Sus scrofa: one gene and its partners. The protein of the gene in region 4 interacts with the protein of the main gene of each other region in a pairwise test. Links are inferred from orthologs where the notes say so. Each region holds a gene or a part of one and is shown on either strand. Other genes may lie near its edges.

Region 1 (3,500 bases), on a different chromosome or scaffold from region 4:
AAAATCAAATTTCATTACTTCGAAAGTAATGAAGTACTGCATGAGAGAAACAAACTCTAGAAGAATCCATCAAAATGTTACTAGCTATATTTGTGTAGTACAATTACAGGTGATTATTATCTTCTTATAATCTTTTTATATATTTTTCAATAACGAACAAATACTAGTTTATGTAAGTTTAAAAGTATATTTTTAATGGCATTATTAAAAAAAAAAAGGCTGCCTTAGGTGGGGTGCTTGCAAGAGTAATAACTAGAAAAGTATGTATTTGTATTTTCTCATGGAAATTTTGAACCTGTCTTTTGGTCCCAAAACTCAGAAAATAAGAAAGCCCTGATACCTGATAATAATGAAGATCTATCTAAAATCATAGAGCCTCTTAGGGCTGTTAAGTACCTAAAAAGTTTCTTAGAGTTTGGCAGGTGAAAACAGCATACAGAGAAACTAAAAGTCAAAATTGTTGTTTTTGATTTTAAAATGTTAATATTCACAGAAGCAAACCTAGCTACCAAACAATTCTTCCAAGTATTAACTTACTTGTAAAATTACACACTGGTGCCAACGACATTAAATTAAATTAGACACTAAGTTTCGAATGGTGGTACAATCCTGCCACCTAGAGCTCAAAGAAAATTGTTCATTTCAAAAATTACAATGAACATTGACAGAACAATGTAAGTACGAATATTCAACTATTAGCCACACTAGGCAGTAAAAATGAATACCAGTAGATCGCCTTATTTTAAATACAGAGAAGAAGGTCCACCCACATTCTCAGATTTCTCCATGATTTTAAGCTCAGGAGAATGATTCTTGATCTTGACCTCGAGTACTGTGTGAAACAACTCTAAGTACAAGAGAAAACGAATTCTTTCCTTCATATACTCTCCTCTAGTGGTCGTATTCCTACTAAAACAGCACAGTAACTAAGGCTGGAATCCAAACAATTCTGCAGACAAAACCAGCCTGCCTAGACCAATGCTAAAGTTCGCTTCCATCAGTCACCTCACAACTTCTATAAACCTTCTCACCAAATCGCCACCGCGAACAACTGTGCATCGGTGAAGAATTAACATTTAAGGGGAAACTGGGATGTGGGCGGGGAAAACAGCTGAAAATAGGTAAGTGAAAAGGAACTGATGCAAACTGTTTGGGGAGCTACTAAGATACGGAACATTCAGTATCTTTCAACTTTTTATCGTTCAAAATTTACATATCTCCTTTAAACAACAGTTCACTTCCAGGAAGTAATGCTTCTGCTATATGCAGACATAAAGGCATGAAGGTGTGTATGTACAAGGACTTTTTTCAATGCAGCTGTTCGCAATCATGGAAAGGAAGGGAAGGAAGGAAACAGCGAGAAGGAAAGCGGGGAGGAAGGGAAGGAAGAAAACCCACAATACTGCAGCAAAAACCAACTCCATTAATCAGGAATAAACAAATGCTGTTACCTCCATACAACAGAATATATCAAATAGGAGTTCCCGTCGTAGCGCAGTGGTTAACGAATCCGACTAGGAACCATGAGGTTGCGGGTTCGGTCCCTGCCCTTGCTCAGTGGGTTAATGATCCGGCGTTGCCGGGAGCTGTGGTGTAGGTTGCAGACGCGGCTCGGATCCCGCGTTGCTGTGGCTCTGGCGTAGGCCGGTGGCTACAGCTCCGATTCAACCCCTAGCCTGGGAACCTCCATATGCCGCAGGAGTGGCCCAGGAAATAGCAACAACAACAACAACAACAAAAGACAAAAAAAGACAAAAAAAAAAAAAAAAAAAAAAAAGAATATATCAAATACACTCAAAGCATGTTTGCTGACTGATTTTCCTAAGTTCTCTCCTTTGTGAGGAAAACATTAACAATGGAATTAATGCCTAGAGAGCTTGCTACCAATATTCCCTGCTCATTAGATTTAAACAAAAACCTCATGGGCGAGAACACTGGGCCTCTGTTTGGATTTGCCAATGAGGTGGACATCAAGGACCTGCTTCTGATTCGGACTTCTTCATCACCTTTTCTGGTGACCACCGACCAACCACACCCTAGACTGGAACGGTAAACACGGCCACCGAGAAATCTACAGCATGACTCATGTTGCACAGGAGACTTCAGCCAACTTCGTAAGCAATCACAGCTTGCACACACACACACGCGCGCGCGCACACCAACTCTCGAGACGCAGTGAGCTACTCTGACTACCTTCCCCGTGCTCTGTAAGATGGTCGTTCGAGTCCTCCACACTCGCTCTCTGCTGACAATATCTCGGGTCACGTCCACTTCAGCATCCACGAAGCTCCTCTGCTTGAGGGCTGTTATATCATCATCTAAGTCCGTCTTGATTGTAGATCTTTTCTTAGCCATAATTTTGGCTTTGATTGCGGCAATTTTTTCCACTGACATAGCTTCAGACAAAGACCTGAAAGCAATTTCTTTTTTAGTATGTGTATAGCAAGGATCGCTTGAGTACATCATAAAATATTTTGCTGCATTTACAAGCTCCTGATAATAACACTTTAAGTGGCCATAATTAAGATTTCCTTCTTATCTATAAAACTGACAGACTTGATGACTTATAACCATGTAAAGGAGAGTCCATGTAGAATTACTGCACCATACGCAGATTAGTAATTTCTTAGGAGGAACAATACAAAAAATTTTGCGTTTTTTCATTTTGCCCCCTCAAAAGCATTCACTAATACGGCCTTTTAGATTAATCACCATCAACCAATCAGAGAATTCTGCACAAGTTGATCACATACCCTGGGACACCCCTCCCTCACCTTGCATTTCAAACTGCTTTGCTGAAACCCTTTGAAGAGTCTGGGTTTTGGGGGCATGAGTTAGCCATTCTCCTTGGTTGGCCCTACAAAAAACCTTTCTTGGGACCCCACCCTGCCCCTGCAAAAAAAAAAAAAAAAAAGTCTTTTATATGAGACCCGTATTTGCTAATCCTCCCAGCCACACAAATTACACAAACACACACGCATGTGTAAGCATGTGCACACCACCACCTTGGAAGGGGGCAAAAATACTTCATTCTACAAAAAACAAAGTTCACACTTTCCTTGAAGTTTATTTCAAGGTTTCAAATCTGTGTCATAGTGTAACAACACATCAATTTTATAGGTGACAGAAGCTTTTATATGCCACGTAGAAAAAACTTTTATTCCCTTTAAGGTATGGAAGGTAAAACAGTATTCTGAAATTTTCCTTTTCTTTTCCTTTATTTCACTTTCAAATAACATGTAAAATGGCAAACAGAAGCTATGATTTCATAACTATAAAAAAAAGACTTAATGAAAATAGATTTCATTAAAATGATAATCTTAGGCTTAGCCGAATTTTTGACAATGTAATACAAAAAAAGGGTTCAGATATCTCAACGGCAGTTGATGAAATTATTACTCTCATCACAAGATGACAATCCTCAAATACATGGAAACAACATGTGGGAAAAGGTCGGGAGTTCGGGCAGGTTCAAACACAGCAGTGTCATATATACGCTA
Region 2 (3,929 bases), on a different chromosome or scaffold from region 4:
GCAGGGGTTCTTCTCAAGACTGACCTCGTCCAGCTGACCGATCAAGCCCTGCAGTTCCGTTTTGGAGCTCAGGTACAGCTCGGCGGGATTCTGGGCTCGGAGGAGCTCGTTTTTTATTTCTCTCACTCGCGTGAGGACCTTCTCTATCTTTAGAATGGAGTGGTTCTGGCCCAGGTCGAAGGCGTAAGTGGTATCTGCCTCCTCCTCCAAGTCCAAGTACTTCAGCAGCTTGTTGATATCCTCCACCACCTCCTTCCGATAGTTCCTGATTTCCGTGTGCCCGCACACATCCAAAGCGTCCAGATCCGCCATCAGCCCCGAGAGCACACACGACAGGTGCCTGCAGGTCTCGTCACTGCTCACGCCCATCAGGAGGGCGATCAGCGTGCCTCGGGCCCGGTTCACGTCACACATCACGGAGTTGATCTTGGCCACCGAGGGGTGCGCGTCGGCGGAGAGCGGCAGCGAGGGCGGCTTTCTCCCGCAGTCCTCGATGATCTCCTGCACGGCGCAGACCTTGGTTAGGGTGTGATACCGCGCCTTCCGCAAGGAGGTCCGGCCGCCCGTCTTGACGCGCGTCAGCCGCAGGATGACGTCCTGGATGCCCTCTTCAAACTCCTCCGTCACACAGCTGCCGCCGCTGTGAAAGGGCACGATCTTCTCTTTCACCAGGGACTGTGCTTCTTGGAAAATGTGCTGGATCTCGAGCCGGTGGGGGTGGTTTGCATTCTGCTCCAGCTCTTTGAGAAGACGCTCCGTCTCCTGGGCCGCCCTCTTCCGCGCTTGCTGAATATCTCCCTTGCCTTCCGTATCTACAGAGTCTATTTCAAAGAGTTGTTTCGTTAGAATCCTCTCCAGTTTCTTGTACGTCTTGTCGTCTGACAGGCCACTGAAAGCAGTTACTTGCTGTTCTATGCTTTTTACCTCCTTTTGGATCTCCTGGAGCCGACTTATAGAAGGATGCTGGTTTCCCATCGCCATACTTTGGTTGTGTTCAGTTTCACAAGCACTAAAAGATGGCAAAAACGATAACTCATTACACTACAAAGCCTGCAGCATGGTAATCACATATTCAATTCATTCTACAGTTCTCATTCTAAAAAGACAGGCTCGAAAAAAAAGGCTGGCTACTGCAGTCCAAAGGAGAAGAAATCCAAGCACAGAAATCAGAGCGACTCATCAATTCCCTCTCATGAAAACAGCTAAACAGCTGCACCGAGGTTGAGACCAGGGCTACTGCCGAGTGGAAATAGGAGCCGGAGCTCTGGGCCTGTGAACTTCAAGTTTCCTCAGTTGTAAGAGAGAACAAACAACATATGCCATCATAAGTATGGCATGAAGCTGAACATTTTGGAAAAGGTGCAGGTATCTGAGGTCTTAAAACTGGAAGCTGTTTTTTTTGGCGCGGCAGGGCACCTTTGTGGTAGCTCTGCTAACCTTCCAGGTCAGTACGTCTAAGCAGGGCCCTCCTCTCACCCCATTACAAAGAGCTATGACTAATTTCCGGAAAAAGTAAACAAAAGGAACCGAGCCACTGAAACAAACACCAGTGGTTCGCAGACACCGCCCAAGTCCCCGCTTCTACCGTCCTCTCCATCCTTTGAGCCCTTCTAACATCTCCTCTACAGTGGCATAGGGCTCCACGGGAAAGGCGACTGGGACTGTCAAAGCACCACCCTGGGCTCTGGAGGCCTAGTACCTCCCCAGGCCCCATCATGCTCCTGCCCCTTCTCCGAAATACATCGCACAAGCATGTGACAACTCTGAGCAATCCATTCACTAGCCTCACATTAGGAATCCAGAATGGCTCAACGCACTTTTTTCATGCTCCTGGGTTTCTATCGATCAGCTCTTTGGAGGGGGCCGGGTACTCAAGTGAAACCAATCCCTTCTGGGTGTCCGAGCCGAGAACACGCCTCTGGAGGCCCAGGGAGAGCAGGCGGCCTCGATTCTTCCCTTCCCTGCCCGCCCTTCCCTCCCAGCACTTTACCCAGAAGAGGTCTAAGCTGGTTTGGTCTTGGCTTCCCGTGGGTGAAGTGGCGAGATGGAAGATCAGCCCTTTACGGGGTGCGGCTCCGGAGCTGGGCCCCCAGCTGCATCCCTCTCACCCCTCCCGGCTAGATCTGAACGGGGCAGCCGGTGAAGGGGCCGGCAGTGGCAGCGGCAGCTACTGGCCGCAGCGGCCGCTCCGGGCGTCTCGCCCGGACCCCACGACGCACCCGCCCGCCCTGACCTCACAATGGCCCTCGGGGGAGGGGGCGGCCGCGCTCGGCCGGGCCTGGGAGCCGGCGAGGAGGGAGGGGGCTCGGGCCGGGCCGGCTGCGGGGAGCCCGGCTCGGAAACCAGGGCCGGCCCGCGTCGGACCCAGGGCTGGGGCGGCGCCCACTCCGGCCCGGCCACAACGGGGAAGGGCGCCGAGTCGGGGGTCGCCCGCCTGCTGCCCGCGCCGAGGGAAGGCTGCCGCCGCCTGGTTCTCGCTCACCTGCGCCGCCCGCGCCATCGCGCACTCCGCCGCCGACGCCCCGCGCCGCCGCAGCTCCCGCCGTCGCCTGGGCCCGGCAGCTCCGCCCCCGGGCCGAACAGCCCCTCGCCCTGGGAAAAGGTCTTCCGGCTTCCGCGCCCACCCCGACCCTGACCAAGCCCGCCGCTGGCCGTCTGGCGAGTCAGCCTGGAACGGCTGAGCCCCAGGAGCAGGCGGCCACCCGGCCGCGCCCGAGCCGACGGCCGTCCTCGCAGCCGGTCACACGCGGGGAAAGAGCACGATCGGCCGCGCTGTCCCCGTCCTCGGGCTTTGCGACCGTGCCGTAAGGCAGCCCCTAGCGCCGTCGCGACTCCGCCGTGCGCCGCGCGGGCCGACGGACGGCGACCATGGCGCCCTGGCGGCCCGGAAGCAAGACGGTCCTCCTTCCTCTCCGCCGCGCCTTTTCAGGCCGTGGCTGTCAGCTCGCCCCCGAGCGCAGCGCTGAGCGCAGGGATGCAGCGCCCAGCCGCGTAAGTGGGGTTCCCGGAAAAGTTGGGCCGGGAGGAGTGACCGCAAGGGGCGGCAGACCCGGGCCGCACCCCTCAGGGACCCCTGTGGGACCCTCACACCTGCGACGCGCCACTTGCGGTGTCGGCTGAGCCCCCCGGCGTGGGGACCCGGAGCCGGCACGGGCTTTGCGGGACAGGCGAGTGGAGCGCGGGGAAGCCCTGGAGCCCCCCAGTTTCCTGCGTCAATCCCCTTGTGGAGGTGGGACTGAGGGTGCCGCCGCCGTCCCGGGGCTGTTGAAAGAACTTTAAGAATAGCATAGCCGTGCAACAGAACAAAGGGTGGGGGAAAAAATGTATACATGTAAGAGTAATTTGGTCCCCATGCTGTACAGCGGAAAGAAAATAAAAGTAAAAAAATAAATAAATGAATAAAAGAATAGCATAGCCGGCCAGCAAGTTTATACGTACCGGGGAGTTCCCGTCGTGGCGCAGTGGTTAACGAATCCGACGGGGAACCAAGAGGTGGCGGGTTCGATCCCTGGCCTTGCTCAGTGGGTTAAGGATCCGGCGTTGCCATGAGCTGTGGTGTAGGTCGCAGATGCCGCTCGGATCCCGCGTGGCTGTGGCTCTGGCGTAGGCTGGTGGCTACAGCCCCGATTAAACCCCTAGCCTGGGAACCTCCATGTGCTGCGGGTGCGGCCCTAGAAAAGACAAAAAAAAAAAAGTTTATACGTACCGTCTTTCTGTCGAGGATAACTGGCTTTTACATGTAAAGAGCTCTTGACATGCGCAGCACGTGTGTGTGTCGTCTTTATGATTAGTAACGCTTTTCTTCAAGTGATGGCGTACTGTTTTGTAGGACTTCACGTTGAATGTTTTTGTTCATTTGGTTTGGAAACCGTGTGCATATATGTATATCTGTGACTGAAGAGCCATAACGATTAATATCTGTAGCAGTT
Region 3 (4,105 bases), on a different chromosome or scaffold from region 4:
CTGGCTGCTGTCTTGTTGAAGAGCTCATTCCACCAGTGGTTTGTGAACTCCTTGGCAGGGTCGTGTCCCACCTGCCGGAGGACGAAGTATGAATGAACCCAGGACGTGTTATTCCCGTCCCTCCCCTGGCCTCAAGACCCCCCTCTCCCATCTGCACTGACCTCCCCCAGCCAGCCCAGGCTTACCCCATGAGTGTCCTGCTTCAGTGTCACCCTGAGGGCCTGGGTGATACCGTTCTCCTTCCGGCCCAGGCCTTTGCCTACGGAAGACAGTGAATGATTTGAACACCCCAAGCCCTCACCCCAGCACATGGCGGATCCTTGCCATCCACACACCTGGCACTAGGAAAGCCCCCGCGCTCTCAGAAGCCCTCCCAGTTTCATTCTTTCCAGCACCTCTCCATGCAGCCCTCCTGTCTTCCAGCCTGAACTATCCTTCCTTCATAATTCTTTCAGGACAGAGGTCATGTTTCTTCCTCCCCCTCCCAGTCCTCCCACTTCTTTCTCCCATTCTTTCCTTTTCTGGAAAAGCCAGCAACTTTCTTCACAAATTTCCCTTTAAACTAACTTTTCCTCCTGCAGTTGAAAGGACTACATAGGGTTAACCCAGAAGGATCCCTCTTCCCCAGGCAGAGGCTTGGGGGTACGTGGAAGGGGCCTGTGGGGATCACCTTGAGTCCATCCATGCTTTAGCAGCTGCTCCTCAGCAAACTTCATCCCACGACTCTTGACCTCTGGGGTGACACTCATGGTGAGAAAAGAGTCACTGTCCTCAGCCCCTCACCAGAGAAGAGGAGTTCACAGTCATCCCTTTAAGAGGAAAGGAAAAAGTGCTCAAATCCTGCAAAAAATCCATCCTGACTGCTCTTATAAGAATTCTTTCTTGCAGAGTTTCCATTGCCATGCAGCAGAAACAAATCCGACTAGGGACCATGAGGTTGCAGGTTTGATCCCTGGCCTCGCTCAGTGGGTTAAGGATCTGGCATTGCCATGAGCTGTGGTGTATGGGTGCAGACACAGCTCGGATGCTGCGTTGCTGTGGCTGTGGTGTAGGCCGGCAATTGTAGCTCCGATTAGACCGCTAACCTGGGAACCTCCACATGCCGTGGGTGCAGCCCTGAAAAAAAAAAATTCTTCCTGGAAGCAGAAACAGAGGAAGGAGGCCTGGTCCTTGAGTGCTCCCTGTCTGACCACAGAGAGGTTAATATCATCATGTTGAAAATCAAGGAGGATTAGTATTAATAATAACACCTAAATTTATGGAGATCTCACTACATGCCAGGCTGTGCTAGGGCTTTTTTTTTTTTTTGTCTTTTTAGGTCCGCACTCTTGGCAGAAGACTCTGGCCTGACACAGTGGATTAAGGATCTGGCTTGCCACAGCTGTGACATAGGTTGCAGTTGCAGCTCAGATTCTGTTCCTGGCCCAGGGAACTTCCATATGCCACAGCTGTGGCTGAAAAAGGAAAACAGAAACAAGAAACAAAAACTAAAGACTATCACTGCTGACCTGAGTCACTTAAATGAAGTTGTGTTAAGATCATTTATTACAAGCATTGCAGACCATTTTTAAAGCCAATTAATGGCACTACTGGAGTAATCCTCTAGCCTCCCCAAATGACAACTCCAAAGGCCAAAACTTTCATTTGTGTTTAAGAAGGTCTAGGAAGTATCCTAGTTTGGGGGGGTGGGGGGAAATCAGACACATCGTTAAGTCACTCCTCCCAAATATTCCGTATTAGGCCTAAGAATGATGACCAGTCTGGTTAGATAGGAAGAGGAGCAAATTTAGGATGACTCACATGTCTGTTCATATTTCTACTGTGAAGGATGGTTACCTGAAAACCTAAATGAGATCTTGAGAGTCCCAACAGAAAAACACTGAGTGAAGAAATGGCCCTATCTTGCTTCTTGATACTGCAAGAGAATTCAAGTTCAAACACTGAGGTCTTTAAGGCCACCTCGAGGCTCTGCCTCTTCTCAGAAGTTATTTCCATCAGGCCGCAGATTCAACAACAACTAACATTTCAGCATTCATTCAATGCCAGCTTCACACACATTACCTCATTTCAACAACCCTATGAGGAGGCATTTTTACCTTCATTTCCAAATGAGGAAAAGGCATTGAGACGTTTCATTACTTGTCCAAATGAAACAGCTGGTAAGTAGCAGATTTAAGATCTCAGGCATCCCAGAACTGACATTCTTAATCACTAGGGTCCTCAGTCTGACAGCCATTAGTGCTTTACACTGTAGGACTTTACCACAGCTTGTCCCTCTTCACAGTAATTCGAAACTATATGCCCTGGTTTTACTCCCCAACCCCGGTGCTTCTAATGCAGCTCCGAGAACAGAGAATGCGTTCCGTCGTTATTCGCTGAACTGAAGGACACAGGTGGAAACTGCCTTAACAGAATGGATAACTGTGGACAAAAGCAACTAGATCCCAGGCTCTGCGCCGCAGTCTTTGTGAAGGCAGCGACTGCACGTTCAGGAACTGTTTTCTCTCCAGTTAACCTGAGTTTTCTGGAGAAGGGGCCCAGGTCCACAATTTTTAGAGCAGATCCAAACAGCCAGCTACCGTTTCCCTAGACCTCCTTCCTCTTGAGATCTAAATTCTAGCCCTCCTACCGCAGTTTCGCTTTGGTGAAACTACTTTCCTGCTCTCACATTTGCTTCTGAGCCCGGGCTCCGACAGCCACCGTCTGGGGGACTACAGCTCCTTACCGTCATTTGCAAGGTCCTCTCCGCAAAAACACATGCCAGCGACATCTTGCGCGCCGCCATCTTCCCGGAAGTGCGTTTCAGTCCTTCTAGGCGGTGGAAACCATAGAGATGCTCGCGGGAAGCAAAGTCGCCGTGGTCCTCCGGAAAGTACTTTTGCGTGGCCCACGTACTTGTATGGTTGTCATAGAAACTCAGCCCCAGAGCGCGCCCAGTTCTAGAGATTTGGGAGGTGTCCTGCTTCTTCCCTGTAGGCCCTGAGCGGCCACGGGACTTCACCCCTAACCGGCTCACTTGGGATCCTGATCCTTCCGTCTGACACCGTCTCGTCCCAGACACAAATAGGAGGAAGGAAAACTTTAGGGGGAAGCACCGAGAGTGGCCTGAGAGGTTCGTAGAGGCAGAGGAGGTAGTACCTCTGAGGTGGTTTGGGGGGATGAATACTCAGCCTGTGGGAAAACAGTTATTTATAAAATCCTAGAGAAGAGAAGTTTCAGTAGGTTTATCACGTTTTGACTCACCACCGTATGCCAGGACCTGCCCCTTTGGTACCAGTGATTCAAAGATGCATAAGACTCGAGCCCTAACTTCGGGGAGCACCTAGTATAGCCCAAGCAAAGTTGGGACCACGAGTGGGACTGAAAAGAGAGGCAGGATCCTGGAATCCATACCAGGCTGAGGTGTTTGGACTTGCCTTGTCAAGTATGAGGATCCCTTGATCAGAGGAGGGAAAGAACCTACTGCCAGGAAATCAACAAGAGAGGCTGCACACGCTCTCATTACCACAGACTGTTCCAAGGCTTAACTAAGCCACCCAAGAATAAAATCTGAAAAGAAGAATCCCTCGTTTTCATTAATTCACAGTAACTTAGTGCTCCTGCCCCACCTCCACCCCCCCCAGAACTTCAAAGGCTATTTCCTAGTAAAACCTTGTAATAATTGCTCAGTCTTTCATACTCCCTCATCCCCATAAGATTTTTTTCCATAAAAACTAATTTTACTTTTTTTTTTCTTTGGTCCTTTTTTTTTTTTTGGTTTTTTTTTTGTTTTTTTAGGGCTGCACCCAGGGCATATGGAGGTTCCAAGGCTAGAGGTCTAATCAGAGCTGTAGCTGCCAGCCCATGCCCCAGCCACAGCAACACAGGATTCGAGCAGTATCTGCAGCCTACACCACAGCTCAAGGCAACGCCAGATCCTTAACCCACTGAGCAAGGCCAGGGATCTAAGCACAACCTCATGGTTCCTAGTCAGATTCATTTCCGCTGTTCCACAACGGGAACTCCTAATTTTACTTTCAAAATATGCTACTTGTGGGAGTTTCTCTGTTGTGATGCAGAACAAACTAACCCGACTAGTATCCATGAGGACATGGGTTGGATCCCT
Region 4 (3,500 bases):
TAATCCCAAGTCACAGTGGCACAACCATGGGAATAACAGTAACAAGAGCTCTGGGAAATTCATTGAACCAGACTTTGCTCTGAGGCGGTGGGGAGCACGGCTCACACTGGAGGAGGCTGGAGGTAGCAGAGCTGGAGGTGGGGCCAGGTGGGGGGCGGAGACTGGCCCAGCAGCAGGACCGAGAGCAGCAGCAGCAGCAGCAGGCCCAGGACTGGTGCTGGGATAAGTGGGTGCCGAGTGACCCTGCTGGGGGGCAGGACAGTGCTTGGGGGGGTGTCCAGGGGAGCCCACGGTGTCCCAGCAATGCCCTGATGCCTGACCACCACCCTCCTTCTGCAGATACCTTGGGGTACACCTGAGATGCTGGGAGTGCAAGGGGCACAGGCAGAGCTGGCTCCAGATGGGCCTCCTGACTGGGACCAGCTCCCTCACCACCGGCACCAGGGCTAGCTGCGGCTCTGGCTCTGAGGGGCTGTTGGCGAGAAAGGAAGGCAGGGCAGTGGCACTGGTGCCCCCAGGTCCCCTCCCGGGCCCTTGGGTTCCACTACCTCTCAGGAGGGGTTCCTGGGATGTCTGCAGGGTCTGAGTCTCCCAGAGGGATGGGTAGATCCACCTTGGAGGAAAAAGGAGACAAAGCTGAGGCACTGGGTCCTGGACTGGGAGAGGTGCTCAGTTCAGCCCAGGAGACAGAAGTGACCACACAGAAGGGGTGGAACACAGAGATTCAGCGCCTAAGCTTCTCTGAGCTTACTACAGCGCTGGGCTCCCCGCTCTGCCAGCTGCCTGCTGTGCATCCCTTGGCGTGTCACCCCACCTCTCCAGGCCCCATTTTCCCATCTGCCAGACAGGGATGAGAAGGCACTCACCACACAGGCCTGAAGTGGGGAATGAATGAGTAAATGCAGGAAAAACCAAAGTATGAGGAGGTGGGCTCAGAACAGTGCCTGACAAACAGTGAGCCCTCGATAACTGCGTGAGCTCCTCAGTATTATTATTTCCATTTTCTATCTGATTCTGGAAGTATCCAAGCCCCTGAGGGCAGAGCCCCTATCTTCTCCAGGAGCCCAGGCCTGGGCTGGGCCTGGTCCAGCATGGGCCCTCCACAAGCCCATTGCACTGCCCTGTGCCAGGTCCAGCAGGTGATTTAAGGTTAAAGCCCCAAATATTCCTCCAGGGGCTTTGCTCTGTGGACAATGATTATGGCAATAGCAATAGATTTAGAAGGGTAGAGTTCCAGCAACACCAGTCCGAGCCCCTCTCCTCGCTGTTGTTGCCTACCCTGCCTCTGCTCTGGCCAGGCTGGCCCTTGTGATGTGTTGCGACTCTGACAGCTGACTACAGATCAAAATCACACCAGCCATGAGGAAAGTGAGGTGGGGCCCCAGCCTCCAGGGACGGGAGCATGCTGTGGTGGGAAAGAGGTGGGCTTTGGGGTCAGGCTGCCCAGAGAGACCATCTCGGATGGTTTGGACCCTAGTCTCCCGATTATCTGGGTGCTCTCCTGGGCATACCTTGAAGGGTCCCGGGTGCCTGGAATGGAGGCTGGCACACCTTTGGGCTCTCATGTTTTTCTTTCTTTCTTTCTCTTTTTTTGTCTTTTTAGGGCCACACCCTCAGCATATGGAGGTTCCCAGGCTAGGGATCCAATCAGCGTTGTAGCCGCCGGCCTACACCACAGCCACAGCAACACGGGATCCAAGCTGTATCTGCGACCTACACCACAGCTCAAGGCAACGCCGGATCCTTAACCCACTGAGCAAGGCCAGGGATCGAACTTGTGTCCTTATGAATGCTAGTCAGGCTCACTAACCACTGAGCCACAACGGGAACTCCTGGGCTCTCACGTTCCTTATCTGAGGACCACAGGCTTCTGGCCTCACCAAATTTCCTTCCCTCCCATCCCTTGCCTGAGAATCGGGATTGTTGCCTGCAAATTTGAGGAGCAAAGGAGCCTGGGTATGTGGTGCCAGTGTGTGTGGTGTCGGGCAGGGCAGCTGTGACAGGCGTGGTGCCCCAAGGGAGTTCTGGGGCTGGTGGGGAGGGTCCGGCCCTTCCTGTGCAGGGTGCATGTGCGTTTTTGCAACCTGGGGGTGTAGCATGCCTGTGAGGCCTATGGCATGGTGGCTGCAGCCCTGAGTGTGAGCTGGTGGCGGAGGGGGAGGGGGGGGTCCCTTGGGAACATTCTGGCCGCCCACTGGCTGCAGCCTCCCTCTACAGCATCGTCTGCTCTCATTAGCTACCAAGAGGGCATTGTTATCTCTTGGCTAAACGATTTTTCTGTCTGGTGGGTGGAATGGGGGTGTGGGTGGGGGCTGGGGAGGAGCTGTGACTACAGCAGCCTCGTCTGAGGGCCTGGAGTGGATGGTGCTGGGGACTGCCTACCGTCACCTGGCTCTCCGCTTCCTCTTCTTCCTCTCTTCTGGGCAACCTGGGGTGGTGACAAGAAAGTCACTGAAAACATCTGTCATCCCTGCCTGGCTCCCTTTTGCCTGCCGTGTGGTGGAATCTTTAAAGCAGGGGCCTGGAGGTGGAGGGGCACCAGGGATGGGCCTGGAGGGTACTCTGGACCCCCATGAGCAAACTGGTGTGTGTACGTCAGTGTCTGTATTTTTCAGGGGAATTTTCACCAAATTCTCCAAAGAGTCTGTGACTCCTGAAAAGGATCAGGGGCCTCTTCACCTCACTGGCTTTTTCAGCTGCTACTTTCCCAGCTGATCTCCCAACTGGGAACTGAGGCTTCTGTTATCTCACACTTTAAACACTGGAGACTCGGACCCGAGACACACCCACTGCCCCAACTTCCTGTCTGGTGGGTTGGCCATTTTCACTGAGTCTCACTGAAACTCTTCTCTGAGGCCTGGAACTCCAGCTCAGACTTCCCCGAGCCCAGCATCCAACTGTGTGAGCCCTACACCCACCCCAAATCATTTCTCTGAGGTGCCAGCCCCCACCCTCCGTGCCTCCTACGGTCACAGCTGACTGAGCACCTGAAAGGCCTCCGTGGGGACTCAGGCCTCAAGCTGCCCAGCCCCAGAGCCCCTTGGAGACTCTGCTGTCCACATCATCCACTGGCACCTTCACTGGGGAGCAAGGATCCAGCCCTCCAGCCTCGGCCACCAGCTGCAGACCCAGCACCCTTGGGATACAGCTGTCCCCTCAGTTACTGCTCAGGAAGGCAGCTTGGCTCCTGGGCCCCCAGCCTCTGCCCCAGTCAGACACACGGCTGTCTGATCCTTTGGGACTTCTACTCAGGACCCCCGGTCCCTCTCAAGGTCCAAGCCCTCATCCCTGGTCACCTCCAGGGGACACAAAATTCACCACTTCCCTCACTCCCAGCTTCCCAATCTGTAGCTCATGCTGCCCCAGCATCCCTCTCCCCAAAATCCAAATGTCCAGCCCCCACACCAGCTTCTGTCCCCGCAGCTCAGCCCCATCTTCCTCCCTTTCCCTGGTGACGCAAGCAGAGGTCACAGCTCTGGGGCCCCCATCCTGCCAGATCT
Region 5 (3,347 bases), on a different chromosome or scaffold from region 4:
TCCAGAGGGATGGGGCAGGAGAGCTTCTGGGGTGAGTGGTGCTGCTTGCGGAGGTGGGGGTGAAGGGGTGGGGATATAAACCCAGGGCCTGGAGCTGGGAAATCACCAGGAGGAATGGCCTGGGGAGCCCCCAGCAAGGCTGGTTCCCGCGCTTTGATGAGCTTTGCAAATGAAGATCTGAACTGATGGTGAGTAATGATGCCAAGATCTCAGCCACCAAGGAGGGCTGCAGGTAGGAGGTCCCACATAGGATTTTCAGTGAGGGGCCAGAGGGTCTGACTGGGAGAAGATATTTCTCAGAAGGCAGAGGCGATTGTAGGGGTTGGAAGGGAGAGCCTGAGACAAGCAAGAGTGCTTCTGCGGGTCTGGCTGTGCTACCGCTGATGGTGCAGAGAAGGCAGGTCCACTCTCTTCTCCCGGATTTGGGGGACCCGCGGGTGCCCCCGCTGCCGTGGGCTCCATCGCACAAGCCTCTTATTGGGTTGCGGACAATTAGACCAGGCGCCACTGGGCAGAAGGAGAGAAGAGCTGGTCTCAGCCGCCTGGCTTGGGGAGGCTGGAAAAGCTGAGGTTCTGGGAGAGCTGGCAGTGCCGGCGGAGCAGCCTGGGGAGGCAGGTCCGGGAGGCAGGTCGGGGTGGGGGGTAGGGGCCGGCCCGTGTGGCTGCGCCTCCGGCTCCTCGGGGCTCCGCTGCTGCCCACAGCTACGCGACCGCCGCGGAAGTCAGGGCTCGGGGCCCCCAGCGGCCCTGGCTCCGGAACGGGGAGCTGTCGTCGCCAGAGAGCGAGGACGCCGAGCTGCTCCCGCGCGCCATGGAGTCGCCGCGCCCGCAGGCCCCGCGCCGCCGCAGCTGCGCGCGGAACGAGCGGTCCAGAAGCAGGTAGATGAGCGGGTTGGCGCAGCTGTTGACGAAGGCCAGGCAGGTGGCGACGGTGAGGCCCCAGCGCAGCGCCAGCAGCAGGGGGCAGGGCAGCGGCAGCGCGCCCAGGCGCGCCAGGTGGAAGACGGCGCGCAGGGCGCAGAAGGGCAGCCAGGAGCCCACGAAGGCGCCCTCGACGGCGAAGATGATGCGCAGAGAGCGGCTCCGGGCGCGGCCCATGTGCGGCGGCCCGCGCAGGCGGTGCAACACTCGGCAGTAGCAGACGACGGTGACGGCCAAGGGCAGCGCCAGGGTCAGCAGCAGCAGCAGCAGGCTCAGGCCCTGGAAAGCATCGGACGGCTCCTCGCCGCACTGGCTGCCTCCGCCCCCGGGCAGCGGCCGCAGCCCGCGGAAGGCCAGCGAGGGCAGGCCGGCCGCCAGTGCCGCGGCCCACACGCCGCCGCACGCGGCCAGTGCGCAGCGCCGGGTGCGCCAGGCGCGCGCGGCCAACGGGCGGCCCACGGCCAGGTAGCGGTCCACGCTGAGGCCGGCCAGCAGCAGGGCGCCCGCGCAGCGCGTGCCGGCCAGCGCGAAGCTGCTGAGCTTGCACAGGCCCTCGCCGAAGGGCCAGCGGCCTCCCCGCGCCGCCGCCGCGGCCCACAGCGGCAGCGTCAACACGAAGCACAGGTCAGCGGCCGCCAGGTGCAGCACGAAGGTGTCCACGAGCCGCCGCGGGCCGCGCCGCTCCACCAGCAGCCGCACCACGAAGGCGTTGCCCAGCAGGCCCACGCAGAAGGCCGCCAGGTAGAGCGCGGGGATGTAGGCGTAGCTGTAGGGCAGGTCCGGGGCCGCGCACACCTCCAGCTCCTCGGGGGCGCCCGACCCGGAGTAGTCCCAGAACGCCGGCGCCGGGCTGGAGCTCCAGGGCTCCGTGGGGCGCATGGCCAGCGAGGCCTGGGCAGACGCGGTGCCGAGCGAGCGGGCAAACGCGGTGCCAAGCGCGGGATGGCTCTTCACGGCCGGTGCCCAGCACCTCCCTTCCTGCCACCTCGACCGGAGCGACTGGGTGGGCAGGAAGGGGTGGGGGAGGAGGAGGTGGGGAGAGGGGGAGGAGGGGGAGAAGGGGGGGAGAAGGGGGGAAGGGGAGAAGGGGGGAAGGGCAGGCCCCTGTGGCGGAGACGTGGCTGAAGATTTGGGGCTGGCCTCCCGGGCAGGGCGGGCTTCCCAGCTCGGGGTAGGGTGGGTGGGGGGCCTTGGGGAAAAAGTCCTCAGGTCTGGGAGGTTGGCCTGTCCCTCCCTCCATCAGTCGCTGATGCCTCAGGGGTCTGACGCTGGTGCAGGAGGCTGGGAACGCCCCAATCCATCCCCATTCCCACTATCTCTCACCCCTGTTCATGCTGCTCCCCATCTCTGTGAGGAGACAGGACCCGGAGCTGTGCCAGCTGGGCACAGTAGATCGGGTGGGGGGAGCCTAAACCCCCCGGGGCCTACCTCCAGTCAGGCTCTAAGGGGTGTTGGCCTGCAGAGATGCCGGATTAAATGTCTCAGTCCAGAGCTCGGCTTTTCTGACCAGGGCAGGTTCTCGTGGAGCCAAAGGGAAAGGGTTTTAAGCTGAAGAGAGAGCGACAGCCTGTCTGGAAGAAAGCTGGAATTCAAATCCCAGCGGTTCCCTGACTCCCTCCATCCGCCAAAACCTTCCTGTGGAGCCACAGGCAGATGTGAGCTCAGTATGAAAGAGGACAGAAGATGCCTGACTCAGCACCTGAGGTCCCTCTCCGACATCTGGAGTCGGAAGTCAGGCCTCTCAAAGAAGAGTGAGCTGCCCTATGGGCTGAGAGGCAGGGGAGGGTTCAGGAGGGGGGTGGGGGTGCAGACTGGCCTTGAAGGAGCCGGTGGGCCCAAGGAGAGTTTGGAGGCGGGGTGCCCACTCTTCTTAAGTGGTCGTCCTCCCATGACTGCTGTTCCGGAACTGATGTGACAGTGTGTGTCATCACCAGGAATGAATGACCCCTTGGGCAACCTGGCGTTACAACTTTGAAGCGGATTAATTATCTGTTTTGTTTGATTCAGTCCTTAATAGCCTCACCATGTGGCAGGCACTGTTTGGGGTATCTCGAGAGCGACAGATGCCCGTTTTTTGACCTTGTGGGGGCAGTGTCACTGATTCAGCAGAGGAGCTAGATCCAGGTGCAGGATGCCTGTTCAAGGTCAGCCGTGCTGTCGTGTTAATGGTCCTTAGGGAGCTGGGAGGAGGGAGTAGCTGCTTCTGGATGGGAAGAGGGAGTCAGAACCTCTCCCGAGGTGGCTCCTGAGCTCGGCTCCAGAGAAGGGACTGAAGGGGGAATTAGAGCAGCAGGGTCCAGGTGGGAGGAGGTGGTGGGAGGGGATGCGGGAAAGGCAGTGGAGGACTCAGATGTCACCTGTAGGAGCCACTGGACATTTTGAGGAGGGCATACCCACCCCCCCATCTGCTCTGAGCAGGTCTGTGC
Region 6 (4,211 bases), on a different chromosome or scaffold from region 4:
CGTAGGAAAGCTGTCTCCAATTTTTCGGTGTTTTTTGGCCATGGTGTGCAGTGGCTTGCTGTGGGATCTCAATTCCCAGACCAGGGACTGAACCTAGGCTGCAGTGGTGAAAGCACCAGATCCTAACGACAGACCATCAGGCCCTTACCTCCAAATTTCTGACCCTTGCCTATGCTGGTAAAGCTTACATGCTTGGGCACACCCTCGTGTATTTCCTTTTAAGGTCATGTGCATGGTATGTCAATCTTACATAAATTATAAAACACATAACAGATGTAAAAAGAAAAAATAAGTAGGGATACAGGCTCTAGAATGTTCTTCCAGCACTCCACAGGTCATCTTGACTGCTCCACTCTGGAGGCCACTGAAGTGGGCAGCAGCTGTCTGGTGGAGGCCCTCCTGTAACAGGTGAGGTCTTTCCCTGCCTGGTGGGAAATAAAAAGGCAAGTTAGGGTCCTGCTGGGGACCTTCGTGCTGAGTGTCTGGGTGGAGAGTGGAGCAAGACGGCCACTTAATCAGCCACTCCAGGGTTTCTCTGGAGAAAACTGTCCTACGACAATCCTCCCTCCCAGACTCTGGGGCACGTCTCTGAGTAGCAGAAAAACTGCCATCACAACATGGGAATGTTGAGTTTTCCCAGCTACATTGAGTTTTTCGGGGTCACGGGTCTCTGGTTTCCCCCTATCCTCCTCCACAGTGTCTTGCAGAATTGTTATTATCATTATTATTTTTTTGTCCTTTTAGGGCTGCAACTGCGACATATGGAGGTTCACAGGCTAGGGATCAAATCGGAGCTCGGCCTACACCACAGCCACAGCAACAGATCCAGATCCCAGACATCTGCGACCTACACCACAGCTCATGGGCAACGCGGGATCCTTAACCCACCGCGCGAGGCCAGGGATCGAACCTGCCTCCTCATGGGTATGAGTCAGATTCACTTCTGCTGAGCCAGGACGGGACTCCCAGAATTGCTTAGATTTAGTTTTTTAGCCTGGTGATATTCTTACTGGGTTTGCATGGAAACTGCAGATGAACAGGGGCAAGTTTACAATTTTACAATAACCCCGTGATCTATCTTAGTTCTGCTCCAACGTTTCTCACTGAAGTTCTCACAGAATCTACCATGACGTTCGTACACACCCGCTGTTAGGTGAAATAATACTTTATACGTTTTTCTCGTCATCCTAAACACCTCTTTCACCTCCCGCTGCGGACCTTTTAAAGCCTATCACCCCAGACGCCCTCAGGTCGGGGCCTGGGCCCTTGTACCACGCGGCCGCCGCCGGCCGGGATCCGCCCTCCGCAACGACCTCGCTCGGGACCCGCCACCGGACCGGCACCTGCGCGGCTGAAAGGGGGCCCCCGCCGCCCGCTCCCGCGGGCCCGGAAGTCGGTTGTCCCATCCGCCCCCGCGCGCCCGGAAGTGGGCCGGGCCCGCCCCCAGCCCCGGAAGTCCGTACCTGGCGGGTCCGCAGGCCCCGAGATCCCGCCTGCCGCGCGCCGTCGCCCGCAGGTCAGTGTCTGTGGTGGGCGCCGGGGCCGTGGCCGCGGTATGAGCGGGTGCGGGGCGAGCTGGGGGGCGGCTCCCGCAGCCCGAGGGCCTCCGGCGGTGCTGTCTCGGGACCGGGCCCTGGTAGGTGGCCCGGGGTGCTGGCGGCGGGCGGGGGCTTGCGGGGGGGGGGGGGCGCGGTGGCCGCAAGGGTCAGGCGGGGCATGTCCAGGGCGGCTCGTGCCGGGGACCCGCGTGATCTCGCCCCGCGGGCAGCGGAAACGCGTGGAGGCTCCTCAGGGGAGGGGGCTAGTGATGGCCAGGAATGGGCTTCGTTTGTGTGCAGTGAATCCGCTGTTTCTTGCCAACGTTTGATTTAATTTTATAGGAAGTAGCTGAAAAGCTACCCAGAACGGGGTCCCTGGAGCCAGCTTTTCGAGCGCACTGCAGCGTCCTCCACGCTGGAAGATAAGCCCCCCGCCCCTTGGTGACTCGTTCATTCAGCCGGAGCTCAGGGACCTCGGGACCTTCTGCCGGGTGCAGCCTGTTGGCTCCGCAGCTGGTGAAGCCTGCAGAGCTGACTTTTTCCGGTCAGTGCCAGTACAGACTCAAACCATGATTAGACTTTCAGTTCCCTTTTTCAAAGGCCAGCAAAGGAAAATGAGGGCGTTCTGACAGGTTCTGGTAGGGTGCCGGAAGCTTGAAGGCTGCTGGAGGCTGAGGGTTTCCAGGTAGGAAGGAGGCAGGGGGTGATCAAGTGGTTGGTGCTTTGCGGGTCAGAGCAGGGGATGCAGCCACAGTGCAGCCATTACAGTTCAGCAGAGAAGGGCCTTCCTTACAGAGAAAATGGGTCTCTGGGGGATGAAGTGACCTGCCTGCCTGCAGAGACTGCAGTCAGCAGGCGGACTGGTTCTGGAGCCTTCCCAGAGAGGAGCTGGGTGCCTGCCTGCGGGCAGCGGCTCCGGGGCTCCAGCTGTCTCTCTGCTCTCCCCTAGCCCGCGTCTCCTGTTGAGAGAGGTGGCAGCACGTTCTGGGATGTACATGCAGGTGGAGACACGCACCAGCTCCTGCCTCCATCTGAAAAGGGCTCCAGGCATCAGGTCCTGGTCCCTGTTGGTTGGTAAGGACGTCCGCTTTTCCCCTCAAGTTAAAAATTTAACTTTCAAAAAGGATGAAGGTGAACGTTAGCTTGTCCCTGCTTCTACTCCTCCAAGACATAACAGCTGTTTAATTCTTCCGACTTTTATGTTCTGTCTGTGCTTTTACAGATGATGTGTGTCTGTCTAGGCTTTTTTTTTTGTTAAACCATTTAATAGCTTCCGGTTAATGCTCCGCATGCTCTTCTGAGGTCCCTGTACTTCCCTTTTGTTTGCTTTCACACACCCATTCCAGGCACAGGGTTTATGCCAGGGCCCCCCCCTCCATCCAGGTCATACCCCTCAGAGGGCCCTGCATCTGCCGGGCAGCTGTAGTGTGCTGCTTGGGGCTGACGTGTGAAGGGCGGTGCCTGTGCCGTCCACAGCCCAGCTCTGGCTTCTTTCCAGGGACCCTGCCAGTTTCATCCCACGTGCCAGACTGGGCCTTTGTCTGCAGTCTGGTCTTAAAGTTCCGCTCCCTGTGCTGTTGGTGGGAGTCCATCCACTCTGGAGGCTCCCGTACACGTCTGGTGAACACGGTGACTGGCGGAGAATGTTCTCCTGAGCAGACCTCCTCTGCCGTGTCTCCACCTCTGAGCCTGGTGGTCGTCTCACCCCCGCGCCCTCAGCCATCCCCGGGCCATGGGCGGGGCCTTCGGGTCCTGGGGGGAGGCGGGTTCCGGGCTGGTGGTGGCCTTTTGGGAAGGTGCCTGCTTCCTTCTTGCAGGAATCGCGTCCATCGGCCTGGCTGCTGCGTATTACAGTGGAGGTGAGATGCGTCATGTGCCCCTGGAACTTCCTCGGCTGACTGACGGGAAGTTAGAGAAAAGGAGGGGCTGCTGCTGCGTGTGACCCGCCAGGGCCCGGCTTGGCACGTCGCCCCTGCCTCTCGATGGTGTGCAAGGCGGCCCCACCTCTCTGCTGGCGTGTCCCCTGCAGGTGGCAGTCCTCCCACTCCAGCATTTTCTTTGGCCGTAAAACAGCCTTCAGAAAGGCAGGCTCACATCCGCCTCGGGTTCTTTGCAGGGATGGTCCCTGTGCGCATGCCCACCTTCCCGCTCTCACACGCTGCGCCGCTACTGTCGGCTCCAGGAGACCCCGGGGGAGAGCGGAGGGTCCGCCATGTGGTGCGGCCATGGTGGCAGGGGCTGTCCTTGCAGGTGTGGGCGGTCAGCCGGGTCCCCAGGTGTCCGGGAGGGGCACCTCGCCCCCCACTGCCATCCCTCACTGGGCTGTCCGGTGTTCACTCCCCAGACAGTCTGGGCTGGAAGCTCTTCTACGTCTCCGGCTGCCTGTTCGTGGCCGTGCAGAACCTGGAGGACTGGCAGGTGAGGCCCATGGGCAGGGCGCCCGGGCACTCGGGCTGCCCTGCGGAGGGAATCAAAGCAGGAAGGCAGGCCCGGGGTCCACGGCCCCTCACCCAGAGGCATCAGCGTACTGGTTTGCAGCCCACTGGACCCGGCCCTGATGTGGCTGGTCTGCAGCATCCCTAAGCCAAGGAGTCCTCTGGGCTGTGCTTCTCCCGGAGGTCCTGGAAGGGCCAGCCCACTGCCCCTTTGTCCCCGTTCATGTGTCCCTGGGCC
Region 7 (2,560 bases), on a different chromosome or scaffold from region 4:
AAGCCCTGCCTCCTGGCCTTGCTTATTTGCTTGCAGGGGAGCTTCTACTGCTGAACCCCACCTGGGAGCCACGACAGGAAGGCGCACTCAGTGGCGGCTCTCCTGCCACCAGTCCTTTTCCCCTGGCGTTTGCCTGGCAGCCCCGTCTCTGCCCCCTGCACACGGAACTGCCCTCTTCAGTAAAGGAGATGCTGAACGGAGAGGGTCTGGGCGGGCCTGTTGCAGTCGTGGGGCCCTCGGGGCTGCTGTCCTGCAGTCTGGGCCCTCGGCGCTGTGCTTCTTGCTGCTGGGGGGCACCCTTCAGAGCCCCAGGTTGAGGGGCGTGGACCCGGGGGCACAGTGACCACCAGGAGCCAGGTCGGGGGACTAGGGGCTACTGAAGGGAAGGCAGGTGACAAGGTGGCTTCGCAGGGCCTGGTGACGTGATGCAGAGGGAGCCACCCGTCCAGCTGGGAGAGGCCGGGGTAAAGAAGCCTTCTTGCGAGATGAGCAGTGAAGACCAAACTGGGGGAACCGGCTGTGCTGGGGGGCAGCGTGGAGGGTCTGGATGGGCGGGGACGAGCCAGAGGGTGACAGGCGCTGGGTCCTGCGTCCGGCGTGGGAGGTCCCGCTTGAGGCCTCCCGCGGGCTTGGGCTCTGTCTGCTGGTGAGCGTCACGTCCCCGGCAGGCCGGGTCGCTGCATGGGCTGCTTCCGTGGGTGAGACGCCTTCAGTGGCCATAGGTAGAGTCCTGGGCCCACAGGGTCAGAGCGGCAGGAACACGAGGCCCCTGGACCCTCATCCCAGCGCCCAAGGCCGAGGCACTGAGTGGGGCGCTCCCGGCCAGGTGGCCCTTGGGGGGGCTTTGGCGTTGCCGCCCCAGGAGGACCCGGGCAGCTTGCTCTCCGTCCACCACGGCCGGACCCGTGAAGGTGGGCCGTGCGGGCTCAGTGGCCCTGGTGGGCTGAGGGCACGGCGCACCTGCCGTCACAGGCCTCTGTCCCCGCGTCGTGGGCCCGAGGCCCCCTCTCCCTGGGGCTTTGCTGACTCACGGGTCTGACCCTGCGTTGCCTTAACTGCCAGGCCGCCCCCGTCGTCGGCCGCCATCCTCACAGATGTTGTCGCAGGAGCCCCAGGGCCCCTTGCTGTGTCTCTCGTGGGCCACGGCTTGCTTCTTCGGCCCCATCTGCAGGGCGGGAAGGGGGCGGCCCGGGGAGCCGTGCGCGCCCTCCGGAGCTCGGCGGGGCCCCCCCAGCTGGCGCCCCGCTCACGGCTCCTTTCTCCCGCCCCCCCCCCGCAGGCTGAGCTTGGCGGCCACGGACTGTTACATCGTGCACGAGATCTACAGCGGGGAGAACGCGCAGGACCAGTTTGAGTGCGAGCTGGAGCAGGCCCTGGAGGCCCAGTACAAGTACATCGTGATCGAGCCCACGCGCATCGGCGACGAGACGGCCCGCTGGATCACCGTGGGCAACTGCCTGCACAAGACCACCGTGCTGGCGGGCACCGCCTGCCTCTTCACGCCGCTGGCGCTGCCCCTGGATTACTCGCACTACGTCTCCCTGCCCGCGGGCGTGCTGAGCCTGGCCTGCTGCACCCTCTACGGCATCTCCTGGCAGTTCGACCCCTGCTGCAAGTACCAGGTGGAGTACGACGCCTACAAACTGTCGCGCCTGCCCCTGCACACGCTCACCTCCTCCACGCCGGTGGTGCTGGTCCGCAAGGACGACCTGCACAGGAAGAGACTGCACAACACGATAGCGCTGGCGGCCCTGGTGTACTGTGTCAAGAAGGTGTACGAGCTCTGCGCCGTGTGAGCCGGGAGGCGGCCGGCCTCACGCTTGTCCGCTGAACGGAAGGACACATCACCGGGGCCCCGGGGCGCTCGGCTCAGCCCACGAAGACGTGGGTCCCGCGACCCCGGGGTCGGCGGTGCGGGTTTCCGACGGGGCGGCAGGATGTGGTGGGAGCAGCGCTGCGGGGGGGCGACCGCGCTCGGGGGTCCTTGAGAACATCCGGTAACTGTACCACCCAGAGCCAGCCGGAGCTGTTGACCATTAAAGTGATGAGAATTTCCCCTCCGCCCGGTGTCTCTCTCCGTGACGGCCCTGGTGGGCGTGGGCAGCACGGGTGTCAGCCCTGGCGACGGGCAGGCCCAGACCCTCCGTGCTGCTCAGGGACCTGGCGGGACAGGTGGGCGGCACGGCCGGGCGGCCGCCTGCAGAGCTGGGGCTGGGTCGTGTCCAGGGATCTGACGCGGGAGGAGCCGGGAACCACCTCCACACCTTGAAAGCACTGAGGCCGTCCCGATGGGGGCCCGGGCCCAGGGGAGCCCCACGCTCCCCGCTTACCTTCCCCCGAAGAGGCGGGGCCCTGGCCCTGCAGCCTCTCGAGACCTCTGCCAGGCGCCTCGAAGGGCAACCAGACTGACTTTCTGCTCGTTTTAAAGGCGCCTCAGGAAGGTCCCATCCCAGAGAGTAACGGAGGGGGGCCGGGGGCCACTTTCTGGGGGAAGAGCCAGGGCTTGTGAGAGTTGGAGAGACCTTGACCCGATTGCGAGGGGCCTGGAAGTGCTGATCCC

The links.
Region 1: the proteins of CCDC155 (region 4) and CDC73 interact in binary tests that used the Homo sapiens proteins (3 or more experiments, as listed by UniProt). The two-hybrid records come from large-scale screens. The link is inferred for Sus scrofa from reciprocal best matches to the Homo sapiens genes KASH5 and CDC73.
Region 2: the proteins of CCDC155 (region 4) and BAG5 interact in binary tests that used the Homo sapiens proteins (3 or more experiments, as listed by UniProt). The two-hybrid records come from large-scale screens. The link is inferred for Sus scrofa from reciprocal best matches to the Homo sapiens genes KASH5 and BAG5.
Region 3: the proteins of CCDC155 (region 4) and GPATCH4 interact in binary tests that used the Homo sapiens proteins (3 or more experiments, as listed by UniProt). The two-hybrid records come from large-scale screens. The link is inferred for Sus scrofa from reciprocal best matches to the Homo sapiens genes KASH5 and GPATCH4.
Region 5: the proteins of CCDC155 (region 4) and GPR25 interact in binary tests that used the Homo sapiens proteins (3 or more experiments, as listed by UniProt). The two-hybrid records come from large-scale screens. The link is inferred for Sus scrofa from reciprocal best matches to the Homo sapiens genes KASH5 and GPR25.
Region 6: the proteins of CCDC155 (region 4) and C12H17orf62 interact in binary tests that used the Homo sapiens proteins (3 or more experiments, as listed by UniProt). The two-hybrid records come from large-scale screens. The link is inferred for Sus scrofa from reciprocal best matches to the Homo sapiens genes KASH5 and CYBC1.
Region 7: the proteins of CCDC155 (region 4) and TMEM11 interact in binary tests that used the Homo sapiens proteins (3 or more experiments, as listed by UniProt). The two-hybrid records come from large-scale screens. The link is inferred for Sus scrofa from reciprocal best matches to the Homo sapiens genes KASH5 and TMEM11.

What each region holds. Positions count from the first base shown.
Region 1 is NC_010452.4:647,119-650,618, forward strand, and holds part of CDC73 (parafibromin), read right to left. Parts: intron 2,411-3,500; coding exon 2,194-2,410; intron 1-2,193.
Region 2 is NW_018084979.1:2,107,337-2,111,265, forward strand, and holds the start of BAG5 (BAG family molecular chaperone regulator 5), read right to left. Parts: upstream 2,801-3,929; 5' UTR 2,483-2,800; intron 2,465-2,482; exon of another isoform or gene 1,991-2,464; intron 1,010-1,990; 5' UTR 982-1,009; coding exon 1-981. Other genes in the region: APOPT1 (apoptogenic protein 1, mitochondrial), read left to right, coding at 2,869-2,991. UniProt on the Homo sapiens protein: Co-chaperone for HSP/HSP70 proteins. It functions as a nucleotide-exchange factor promoting the release of ADP from HSP70, thereby activating HSP70-mediated protein refolding.
Region 3 is NC_010446.5:93,485,060-93,489,164, reverse strand, and holds the start of GPATCH4 (G patch domain-containing protein 4), read right to left. Parts: upstream 2,801-4,105; 5' UTR 2,726-2,800; intron 810-2,725; 5' UTR 750-809; coding exon 671-749; intron 260-670; coding exon 186-259; intron 72-185; coding exon 1-71.
Region 4 is NC_010448.4:54,497,489-54,500,988, reverse strand, and holds part of CCDC155 (protein KASH5), read right to left. Parts: intron 2,429-3,500; coding exon 2,383-2,428; intron 614-2,382; coding exon 549-613; intron 473-548; coding exon 344-472; intron 247-343; coding exon 102-246; 3' UTR 1-101. UniProt on the Homo sapiens protein: As a component of the LINC (LInker of Nucleoskeleton and Cytoskeleton) complex, involved in the connection between the nuclear lamina and the cytoskeleton.
Region 5 is NC_010452.4:23,367,774-23,371,120, reverse strand, and holds GPR25 (probable G-protein coupled receptor 25), read right to left. Parts: upstream 1,920-3,347; 5' UTR 1,801-1,919; coding exon 703-1,800; 3' UTR 501-702; downstream 1-500. UniProt on the Homo sapiens protein: Orphan receptor.
Region 6 is NC_010454.4:656,027-660,237, forward strand, and holds the start of C12H17orf62 (uncharacterized protein C17orf62 homolog), read left to right. Parts: upstream 1-1,411; 5' UTR 1,412-1,516; exon of another isoform or gene 1,517-1,636; intron 1,637-1,880; 5' UTR 1,881-2,082; exon of another isoform or gene 2,083-2,223; intron 2,224-2,487; 5' UTR 2,488-2,527; coding exon of another isoform or gene 2,528-2,612; 5' UTR 2,613-3,270; coding exon of another isoform or gene 3,271-3,397; 5' UTR 3,398-3,520; coding exon of another isoform or gene 3,521-3,567; 5' UTR 3,568-3,654; coding exon of another isoform or gene 3,655-3,656; coding exon 3,657-3,956; intron 3,957-4,211. UniProt on the Homo sapiens protein: Functions as a chaperone necessary for a stable expression of the CYBA and CYBB subunits of the cytochrome b-245 heterodimer. Controls the phagocyte respiratory burst and is essential for innate immunity.
Region 7 is NC_010454.4:61,350,302-61,352,861, reverse strand, and holds the end of TMEM11 (transmembrane protein 11, mitochondrial), read left to right. Parts: intron 1-1,279; coding exon 1,280-1,796; 3' UTR 1,797-2,060; downstream 2,061-2,560. UniProt on the Homo sapiens protein: Plays a role in mitochondrial morphogenesis.